2 linked regions of the Schizosaccharomyces pombe genome follow. The gene in region 1 interacts genetically with each later gene. Each region holds a gene or a part of one and is shown on either strand. Other genes may lie near its edges.

What was found.
Region 2: of agn2 (region 1) and fus1, changing one enhances a phenotype caused by changing the other (phenotypic enhancement), as found in Schizosaccharomyces pombe (one study listed by BioGRID).

Annotation. Positions count from the first base shown.
Region 1 is NC_003423.3:932,039-936,186, reverse strand, and holds agn2 (glucan endo-1,3-alpha-glucosidase Agn2), read left to right. Parts: upstream 1-2,083; 5' UTR 2,084-2,104; coding exon 2,105-3,406; 3' UTR 3,407-3,533; downstream 3,534-4,148. Other genes in the region: tsc13 (enoyl reductase), read left to right, coding at 584-1,471; squalene synthase Erg9, read left to right, coding at 3,745-4,148.
Region 2 is NC_003424.3:4,812,518-4,820,001, reverse strand, and holds fus1 (formin Fus1), read left to right. Parts: upstream 1-2,215; 5' UTR 2,216-2,658; coding exon 2,659-6,777; 3' UTR 6,778-6,891; downstream 6,892-7,484. Other genes in the region: eIF2 alpha kinase Hri1, read left to right, coding at 1-1,743; CCR4-Not complex subunit Caf16, read right to left, coding at 6,937-7,484. UniProt on the Schizosaccharomyces pombe protein: Required for cell fusion. It associates with the pre-zygotic projection tips in conjugating cells.

The sequences.
Region 1 (4,148 bases):
GCTTTCTTTTTGCTACTTCAGAATTTCTTGTTCTGAACTTTCTTATCTATTAAATTGAGTTATTTTTATTCATGGTCCACAACAAAGTTGTTGCTAGCGATTTAAGCTAACTAAGCATACTGCATTATTCGTCTTGTTTTATAGGTAATAATAGCATTTCCTCGTATTGTGAAATCTTCGTGAGTTACTAGGTTAAGCTTTAAATGTAAAAACACTTTCCAACAAGCTAAGCGCATAGTTCGAAGATTGTTCAACGTACAATGTTAATTTCTTATATTTTTGTACATATGTATTCAAACAACTTATGATTTGTTGAAAGGTAGGCGAGTTTTAGTTTCTTGGTTGAAAGAGTATATCTGAATCTATATTTGCAGAAGAAAAGAAGAAAACATTTGTGATTCGATCATATTTCCTTAATAAAATCCTGTCACCATAGGTCGCATCTTCTCAAAATACGATATCATCTAATCGAGGCTGTCTCTGCCATTACTTGTTTCATACTTGGTGTCAGGATATTAAACTCCCACGAGCTTCTTAAGCCCAACAACAACAGCACACAGCTTGTTAAAGGTAGGTTTTCAAAATGAGTATAACTTTATCTTCAAGGGGCAGAAAAATCCGAAAATTACCTAAGAGTTTGGAATTCCCTCTGGATGGGTCAATCGATAAACTCCGGGACGAAGTGTCCTCAGTAACACGGCTACCAGTTGAGCGTTTACGCTTCAGCACAGCCGATGGAACTACTCTTTTACCCAATACCACATTGAGGAAGTATGGTGTCGGCCCGGGTGCCACTATTTGGGTTAAAGACCTGGGTCCCCAAATTGGTTGGCGTACTGTTTTCATGATTGAGTATTTGGGTCCTCTTGTTATTCATCTATTTTTTATTCTAAATTACAAATGGATTTATAGAAAAGACTACAACTTGTGCCTTAATCAAAAAATAGCATTTGTGCTTGTCATGTTGCATTTTATGAAACGCGAGTATGAAAGTATCTTTGTTCATCGCTTTTCACTTGCAACAATGCCCTTACGAAACATATTTAAGAATTGTGCACATTATCATCTTCTTTCGGGACTCTTTTTAGCTTATTTCATATATGGTCCTTGGCATGCTAACGATTACATAAAGCCTAATCATCTGTTGTTTTTAATCGTTGGCTGGGCGTTCGCTGTCCTTTCCAATTTTAGAACTCATATTATTTTACGCGATTTACGACCCGCCGGCTCCAAGAAGCGTGTTATCCCAACCGGTTATGGATTCAACTTGGTATCATTTCCCAATTACTTCTTTGAGTCTCTTGGCTGGCTTTTTTTCGCACTCTTAACGAAATCTTGGGCTTCTTGGATCTTCTTATTTGTTGGTTCCGCACAAATGTTTGTTTGGGCTAAGAAAAAGCATGCTCGCTATCTGAAAGAGTTTCCCAATTATCCCCGTTCTCGTAAAATTATGATTCCCTTCTTTTTATAATCTATAAATTTAGAACCAATCGATTTTCACTCTTGATCGATCAGTTTAAAGATGTTGATCAATTTTTAACTACACGGATATGCTACTTCTGTTGTTCTTGATTTGGTTCTACGGTTTTCAATAGTCATTGTTCTACATTTTACAAGATTCTTTTCCTAAGAATGTTAAAGATATACATTTCATAGATATAAATAAACATAAAGAACTCCAATAGCTCTAGACAATTGTTGAGCACCGCCATCTGAACCACCATTGTATATGATTGGAAAGTCAAATTTAAAGTCTATCACAATCAGATAAATAACTAGTTATTCATTTGAAATATAGTGTATATATATATTTATAGATATATATAATTACGTGTATCGCTAATTCATTTGTCAGTATTGTTATGTCCAGTCATTCCATAAGCAAACTTGCATTTGTTTACATTTTAATAGTCAGTATATAAAGGCATCTATAACTCTTTGGCATTTACACCAACCTTTGTCGACATTAGACTAAAGAGTCTAAAGGGACAAGTTATCAAATCTACCTGCATAACTTAATTTTTTTTTGTATAGCGGCAGTCATCGGCTAGACCTTTGAAAGCGGACAGCTTGCATTTCCACTAACCAACTTAAATATCACTTAATGGCGTCGTTAACAACAGCTTTACCGAATAAAGCCGTTGTAGCCCATTTTATGATGGGTCTTACGTACAATTATGCTCAGAGTGATTTCCAAAATGACATACAAAATGCAATTTCTTTGGGGTTGGATGGGTTTGTGCTCAACTTTGGGAATGACAGTTGGATGATGAGCAAACTGACTTTGATGTACAATGCTGCTGATGCATTAAATCTTCAGTTTTTGCTTTACCTCAATCTAGATATGTCTGAAATGTCAACGGTTCCCGCTAGCACTCTTGTGACCTATGTTCAAACTTTTGCTAATCGTGGCCATCAGGCTCGGATTAATAACAATGTAGTCGTGGGCACATTTCTTGGGCAGGATATTAATTTTGGTCAGTCTTCAGTAAACCAAGGTTGGCAGGTAGCATTCAAAAACGCGTTGGCTTCTGCTGGTATCAATATTTTTTTCATGCCCACTTGGCCTCTCGATGCTAGTACTATTTATCAGACATATCCAGTTGCCGATGGATTCTGCAAATGGAATTGCTGGCCTTATTACACAAGTTCCCCTACTAGCGATGCTGAAGACTTAGTTTACATACAAAATAGTAAAGCCACAAACAAAAAATATATGGCTACTGTCAGTCCAATATTTTATACACACTTTACTTCCAAAAATTATTCTTTCTTTTCAGAAGGTTTATGGTTTACCAGGTGGATGCAACTTATTAAAGACCAACCAAACTATGTTCAAGTTTTAACTTGGAATGACTATGGAGAAAGCACATATATTGGTCCCACTAATTATGCTGCTGACTTTCCGGTCATAGGATCAAACTCTCATGAGTGGGTTGATTCGTTTACGCATGCACCTTTATCTTATTCACTTCCCCTTTTCATTCAAATGTATAAACAAAATACTACAGGTCTTCCATCTAACTTCAGCGGAATATCGCAATTATACGTTACATACCGGGTGCATTCAAAAAATGCGACAGCATCGTCAGACTCAATTCCTCGACCTGATAACTACCAGAACAGTTCTGACGTTATTAGTGTTATATCCTTTGCAAAGTCATCGTATACTTTGCGCGTTAGCGTTAATGGCACCGTACTAGGTACCACCAATGTCAATGCAGGTGTTCAGTCAGCTAATGTTAGTTTCATTGTTAACAACACAGCTGCTGCAGGTCTTCCACTCTTTCAAATTTTAAATGGAACGACAGTTATCGCTCAGGGGTATGGTCCATTAAATATTCTTGGTAACAATTCTGTTGTGCTATACAACTTCAACTTCTGCACCACTAGGATATCCTGGTAATTCCATAAACTAAAAGTGGAGATCAAAATTAGTCAATCCTGATGGTATGACTGAAGTTTACATTACTTTTTGGTGGCAGGTAGCTTTGATAACTTTTTAATACAAATATTTTTGTTGGTGTCAACAATTGTAGTTGATGTAGATTAATTTTATTTTATTTTTTTCAATTGTGCAAACACAAAGAGTACTCTACTAAAATAAACCTGAAAGTTCGATACCGCTTGACACTTGGGCTGCTGATCAACTGACCGTAACAAACTCCAACGAAGTGGTATCAATATCTCAAGCACGTCTTCACTTAGCCTTCCAACTACACCATTTAATCTGCGTTTTATATAATGAGTTTAGCTAACCGCATTGAAGAAATCCGGTGCCTTTGTCAGTACAAGCTTTGGAATGACCTTCCTTCTTATGGAGAAGACGAAAATGTGCCTCAAAACATCCGCCGTTGTTACCAATTACTCGATATGACCTCGAGATCCTTTGCAGTCGTTATTAAAGAATTGCCAAATGGTATTAGAGAGGCTGTTATGATTTTTTATCTTGTCCTTCGTGGACTGGATACAGTAGAGGATGACATGACGTTGCCTTTGGATAAAAAGCTTCCAATCCTAAGAGATTTTTATAAAACAATTGAAGTCGAAGGGTGGACGTTTAATGAATCTGGTCCTAACGAAAAGGATCGTCAGCTTCTCGTAGAATTCGACGTGGTTATAAAAGAATATCTTAACCTGTCAGAGGG
Region 2 (7,484 bases), on another chromosome or scaffold:
AAGAAATCGAGGTATTCCAGCCCTGATGGCGTTTTGGCGAAAACTGCTTCCTTCTTGAGCGTATTGAGTGATGGTGGATACGAAGACGATGTGATGAATGTCAAGCCTTCAGTAAACGTATTGTCTAATAGGTTAAATCATTTACCAGTTGAAGCATTGGAATCTTGCTTTCCACAAACCACTTTGGAGTCCTCCACGTTTGCTGATTTTTGTGAGCACAAAGATGGAACCGGTAACTTGTCTTTTAGCAACTTTGATAGCTTTCCCACAGTCCAAAGGTCAAGATATGCAAGTGATTTTGAAGAACTTGAGTTACTTGGTAAAGGCGGTTATGGTTCAGTGTATAAAGCTCGAAATAAATTCGATGGAGTTGAATATGCTTTAAAAAAAATTCCACTTCGGTTACGTTCTTTCTCCACTTCTTCTAACATATTCCGTGAATCTAGGACCTTGGCAAGATTAAACCATCCCAATGTGATAAGATTCTTTTCTAGTTGGGTCGAGCTCTTACCGTCATCTGAAAAGCAAATCGAAGAAGAACCTTTAGCTTCGGCAGATGAGACATTATCTCAATCAGCAGATATAGATAATTTTATGTTTGATATGGATACTGGGTTACTTCAGCATACTTATCCTTCATCAGTTCAGATACTATTCCAAGAGGACTCGGTTGCAGATGATTTAACTCCTTGTTACTCTACCAAAAATTCGACTTGCAACTTGACTGATCTTTTCAAGAAAGAGGCCGATCAGGATTATGCCGAGTCACATGATTGTTCTTCAACAACATCACAAGTCGACACATTAGGAAAGTTGGCGCCAACGAAGTCAGCTTCTGAAATGTTACTTATGGATTCATTTCTATCCGAAAGAGAGGAAGATGAATGTTCCAATATTCCCAGCTTTGATCAACAGCCCTTATGTTTGTACATACAAATGGCTCTTTGCGAAGAAACACTCGAGAAACACATAAACAGACGAAATAAGCATATTCACGGTGTAATGTCTAAAGGCCTACGTAACTGTTATATTTTACTGTTTGCAAGGATTTTAGAGGGCGTTTTGTATCTTCACGATGCTATGCATTTAGTCCATCGTGATTTGAAACCTCGAAATATTTTTCTATCTAGTGGTGTACATTCTGAGCCTTGCTCTGTGTGTCTACCTAATTTTTCTGATGAAGATAATGTTGAGGTTAGCAATGCGTACGAACCAGTGAACCAAAGAACTTTATGTGTTGTGCCCAAGATAGGCGATTTCGGTCTTGTTCTTTCTCAGTCAGATAATTTGGAAGAGGGGACCAACTCCTCAGCTGAATCTTCTTTTGTCGGTACAAGTACGTATGCAGCTCCTGAACTTTTCTCAAAACACATGCGATCGGTAATGAATAACAACTCGTCTACTGACATATATGCATTGGGCATACTCTTTTTTGAATTACTGTATCCTTTTAACACGCGCATGGAAAGGGCATCAGCTATCGCCAATTTAAAAAAGGGCATTTTCCCCCATGATTTCTTGGATTCCATGCCAGAGGAAGCTAGCTTAATCCGGTCAATGCTCAGCTCTTCGAATAAGCGCCCAACTGCTGCTCAACTTTTGACTAGCAATCTATTTCATGATTTGGTAGTCAATGAGCTTCATGTATATCAAGCTTTATTGGAAGATGCTGAGAAACGAAATAACAATTTGAAAGCAGAACTAAACATACTTCGAGTTTTAAACCCCAATTACGACTGTTAGTATTAGTTACGAACTACTTTGGACTGCTTCAATTGTTTTTACAATTCGCTTTTGACAAGATTTAGTTGTTTATGTTATTTTATGTTTATATTTCCTACGTTTTATGTTTATCCACTGTTATGATTTGTTTATAGTGAGTTATCTTCCATGCTCTTGGAATGGTTTTTGGAGCTTTTAGGTGCGAAAGAGTAGTCTGCATTAAAGATTTTTCTTATTTTAATATATTAAATTGAAAGTTCATCTTGTACATTTTTTCGTTGCTAGTTTTCAGTTCAACAGTCTGATTGATTTTTTTAAGTTTTCTTGATCTTGATCTTGTACTCAAAATGTTTATCCTTTTTAATCAAACTGTCTTTCATTTATGGAAAACAAATATCAATCAAGCTATAAATTAAACAGCAGAAGCGATTGTTTAATTTTAGCGTGATAGTAAACTAGCACTTCATTAGGCGCCTTATTCTAAAGACACAGTATGTACGCCACCCTCTCAATGTCTTTTAAAAAACATTTATTAATAAATATAAACTAGAATGGACACTAAACTTATTTCCAGCATTATTCAGTTAATTCTGATATGGACTACTTTCAAGTTGTCGCTTTCCAATTACGTTTGTGTTTGAGCTTGAACTTATCGGAAAACTAAATAGTTTTCGAACACAGTTAGTATTTCTTTGTTCTTTAACGGGTACAATAAAATGGATCGTTGCATATGTAATTGTTGCTTTGAATCATATTACGTCGGTTAAACCGAACAAAGAAAGTTATGTTCTAAATACTCAGTAATTTTCTAGTAAGTCTTTTACCTTACTTCTTATATCTGAACTCAAAAAGGATTGTTTACGAGCAAAAAACCTTGTTTCTGTAATTATAGGACATATTATTGATGGTTTCACCTTTTTTAGCTATTGCTTGTTAATGATGACGGCTAGTTTTAAAGGTATCAGAATCTCTAAACCAATTGTTAAAGAAATTTCATCGTTTGGGTCTCTAACAAACATTGATTTACACACTGACCCATATGAAAAAGTCGAAGCAAAAGCATTATCGCGAAGCAGATTAAAAAACCAAAGCGTAAAGAAAACAGACCTTCGTATTACAAATGATTACTCTTCACTATTTGTGAGTATTGAAAACAAAAAAAACACTATTCCGGATATTCATTGCAACAATTTATCAAAAAGACCTGTTGGATTTACCGATTCATATGTACCAGGCGAAGCGCTTCTATGTCCGGATGACCCGAATTTAGTGAATGAATTATTCGATGATGTTTTAAAAAGATTACGCGAAGAAAAATCTGATTCTGGTGAGCAGTTTCATTGGGACGCGAACGTTACACTCTCTCAAGAAAACAAATGGTCTTTCATCACTGGCTATTTATCGAGAAACGATAAATTTTTAAAAATATCATCAAACGATTCTGAACTAAATGTCAAGGCATCCGTCATTTCCTATATTGAAAAGTTAAGCTGTACACCGTTGAAGCTCAAGTACGTGGAATCTTTGGCGGTTGCATTGAGAACCGAATCAGTTACCTGGGTTCGATATTTTCTTTTGATGGGTGGACACATAGTACTTGCTAAAATATTGCAGGCAATTCATGAGAAGAAACATCTAAAAAGTCCTGACATAACTTTAGAAATTGCAATCCTCAAAAGCATGAGGTGTATTATAGGACAGAAGATTGGGACTGATTTCTATCTGAGTAATAAGTATCCTATCGATTCAGTTGTTCACTGCCTCCTGTCAACTAAATTACTAGTAAGGAAACTAGCTGCCGAATTACTTACTTTTCTTTGTTACTCAGAAAAGCCGAACGGAATCAACGCAATTATGAAATGTATGAAAAACTTTGCAAATTTGAAAGTCGAGTCTATGAACGTCTTTGATTTATGGCTTTCTCAATGGAAAAGAACACTCTTAGAGAAAGTTGTTACTGAAGAAAAGAAAGTACTAGAAGAAGCGGCCTTACATGATAAAATAACTATTGAGTATATCATTTCACAAATGCTTCTTATAAATGCATTTCTTGAAAATATCCCATCTAAAACTGCTTTACTCCAGTTCAAGGAATCCTTGAGAATAGGGAATTTCAAAAGCATTTTACTCATTCTAAAAAAAATAAATGATGAAGGAGTATTAAAACAACTCGAGAAATGCGTGAAACTCGTATCATTAGACACTGCTAATGAGAAACATTTTTTAAAGCACACTCCAAATTCTGCTGCTCATCAATCCCTTTTAAACACAAACATGTTTAATGATGCAAATTTCGAATTTATGGTTAAAGAGCATATTAAAAATTTTTTAAAACTTTTGAAAGAGCACAACAACCCCGTCCGTATTATAAAGTTACTTGATTGTTTAGTGCTTACTTTACAAGCTGATAAAGGGAATGGTAATTCAAATAATGATATTGATTGCTTTTATAAGGAATTAAAGATTGGAAACGAGCAAGGGAACAACGCTCCGGGGTACTCAAGTGTTACGTCTGGCTACGGTACTACCAATAGCAAAAAAGTTGTCGCATCATATGATAATACTGATGATAATGAATACAGCGTCTCCAAATCAGAACTTTATGCTACTGGTGATACTAATAACACTACAAATCAAGGATATGAGAATTCCGAAAGAAAGTATGTGGAAAGTTCGAAGTATGAAACCGATCTGAAAAATATCTTTGATTGTTTGTGTTTGTTGTTTCCATCAGAGTTTGATCCTCAATCTTCCTTTTCAGCCGAAAAAATTTTTAGTAAACTAAAGCACTTACTGACGCGTACGCGCGATTCATACATTTCCGAAGATACCAAAATTCTTCGATTATTGAACCGATCAAGTAGTAAACTGCAAGATCGTGACCAAGAGTATTTAATTTCTAAAAACAATGTGAATGGAAATGGAAACAGAGATTGGGTTCAACCCGTGAACACTACCTCTAGCGTTAGTGCTTTTGCTTCACCAAGGATAAAACCTAAACTGCTTTTTCAACCAAATCAGGATGAAAAATTAAAACTTTGCAAATTAGATCTAGCTAAAGCAAACTCAATCACTTTAAAATCCGAGCCATCTTCCGCTGTTTCAACGCATTCTTTTGAGGTTCATCTGAGTATGCCAGGAACACAAATAAAAAGTGCTAACTTAGCAGAAAAAATGGAAACTTCAAAACACAAGGTTTTTAATCCAAAAAGGATTGATGTTGTTAGTGATCTTCCCTTAGACTATCGAAAGTCGTACTATGGCCGATTTTCCATAACTGATACCAAGAGGTTTTCTAAAATAGAAAATATGAGAATCAAAGAAGTTATTGATGGGAATCCATTCAAAGCTCCACCTCCTGCACCATTACCACCTCCTGCACCTCCTTTACCAACTGCAATGTCTTCTCTCCAGAAATTTGAAAAAAATGATTCACAAATTTTTCGGAAGACGATAATTATTCCCGAAAATATTTCAATCGATGACATATTTAAATTCTGTTCAGGTTCAGAGTCTGAAGTGTATGCAAGCAAAATTCCTGGTGAGCTATGCAATCCTTCTAAACGGCTAAAGCAGCTTCATTGGAAACGCCTCGAAGTTCCTTTCGAAAAAACTCTATGGAATATTGTAGTTGCAGATCCTTATTTATTAACTTTAAAACTTACTGCGGAAGGGATTTTTAAGCAACTCGAAGATTGTTATCCATTGAGAGAAGTAACAGTTTCCAATAAAAAAGTTAAGGAATATACCGGATTTATGCCAGTTGATTTACAGCAAATGGTTAGTATTCGTTTGCATAGATTCAATTCCTTGACACCAATTGAAATTGCCAAAAAATTTTTTCATTGCGACCATGATATCATGGAACTAGTCGATTTTTTTAATGACCGAAAGTTTTTTCGACAAGAAGGTCTTAAAAAGCAACTAAAGCCTTATATGTCATCTCGAAACGAAGAGGTAATGGAAGTAAGTGAAAAGCTTTTAGAATTGTCTCGTTTCGATCAAATTTATACGTTAATTGTTGTTGACATTGATACTTATTACGAAAAAAGAATGGCAGCTTTAAAAATCAAATCGTTTCTGGCCAACAACTTTAGGGATTTTAGAAGACAAATAAGGAAACTTCATTGTGCTTCTTTAGAGTTGAAATCTAGTTTGCATTTCAAGTATTTTTTAAATTTGGTCCTTCATATTGGCAATTTTATGAATGATGCACCCCGTCGAGCTAAAGGGTATCGATTGGAAAGTTTACTAAGAGCTTCCATGATTAAAAATGACAAAACAGGATTAACACTTCTTCATACTATTGAAAAAATAGTTCGGACTCACTTTCCACAATTGGAAGCTTTTCTCGTGGATTTGAAAGCCATTCCCGAGATTTCCAGATTTAATTTGGAGCAGTTGGAGCAGGATTGTAATGATATTTGTGAACGGATGAAAAATGTTGAAAAGGACTTTAGCAATGAAGGCATTTTTTCGAATCATAAAGCTCTTCATCCTGATGACCATATCTGTGAAGTCATGGTTCCATGGATTCCATCAGGAAAATCAATGGTGGATGAACTTAATTCTGATATTACTGAACTAAAAACAACCCTTAAAACAACTCTCTTAATGTATGGTGAAAATCCAGATGAACCTACATCGAGTGCTAGGTTTTTCAATAATTTAAACGAAATAATACTGGAGTACAAAAAGGCTAGCACTGTAAATCAGAAGATGGAGAAGGAAGAAGAACTTGCTTTTCTAAGACTACAAGCTTTAAAAGCATCTGTTAAAAGCAATAATGCAGAAAATAGTGGTTCTTCAAAGAATGAGGAAGTTTCAGCAACAATGGAAAATTTAATATCTCAGCTACAGAAAGGTTTGTGTGATGATTCTTTAAGCAACAAAACCGATTGCACTGAATCATCGAAACAAACAATCGAAACTCTAATGAATTATGAAAATGATAAACAAACTCTAGAAGGCTCAAATAAAAAGAGACAAACAGTCGTCCTTAAAGCTGAATGCATGCTTAAGCAGCTGGAGAATAACAATGAACTTAAGAGATAATGATGTTTGAAATGTTAATGACTTTTAATGACAATTAAATGACTTAAACAAATTATAATGAAATTATAATTAATAAAAGGTATAATTATTAATTCTAGTAAGACTGTAATGCTTGTTAAAGATAGAATTAAGCATCTAAAGGATAACTTTTCTAGTAATCTATTTTGCTCGGGAAATCTTAAAGTAATCAGTAAATACATCAGTTCCAACTTTTAATGATTCTTGAACGTCGTCCCAGGTACTACGCTTTTCCTCTTCTCGAGTTCCCCTATTTTTTTTGTCTTCTTTGAGCCATTCCAAACATGTCTCTAGAAGGGCGCTATTTCCCGTAGAGGACCTTGTCATCAGAGCACCAAACTTGGATATTGGTCCATAATCCACGATACGCCCAAGACTGAGATGGACCAAGTGAGTTGGCCACTCAGCTAAACCATCAAATATATGTGTTGCATAAACAATAGTAGCATTCCTTACTTCCGTTTCCTCTTGCAAAAAATTTAACAAATCTGCCCGGGCAAGAACATCCAAATCTACAGTTACTTCATCAAGTAAAAGTACTTCAAATGGACGCAGAAGTCCCATACATAGTTGAACACGTCGTCTTTCACCATCGGACACTGCATGCATTCGCCAACGAAGATCTATATCAAGAATTGAAATCAAGAAATCCCTACGTTCGGCAAATTTATCTCCTCCAACAGAAGCAA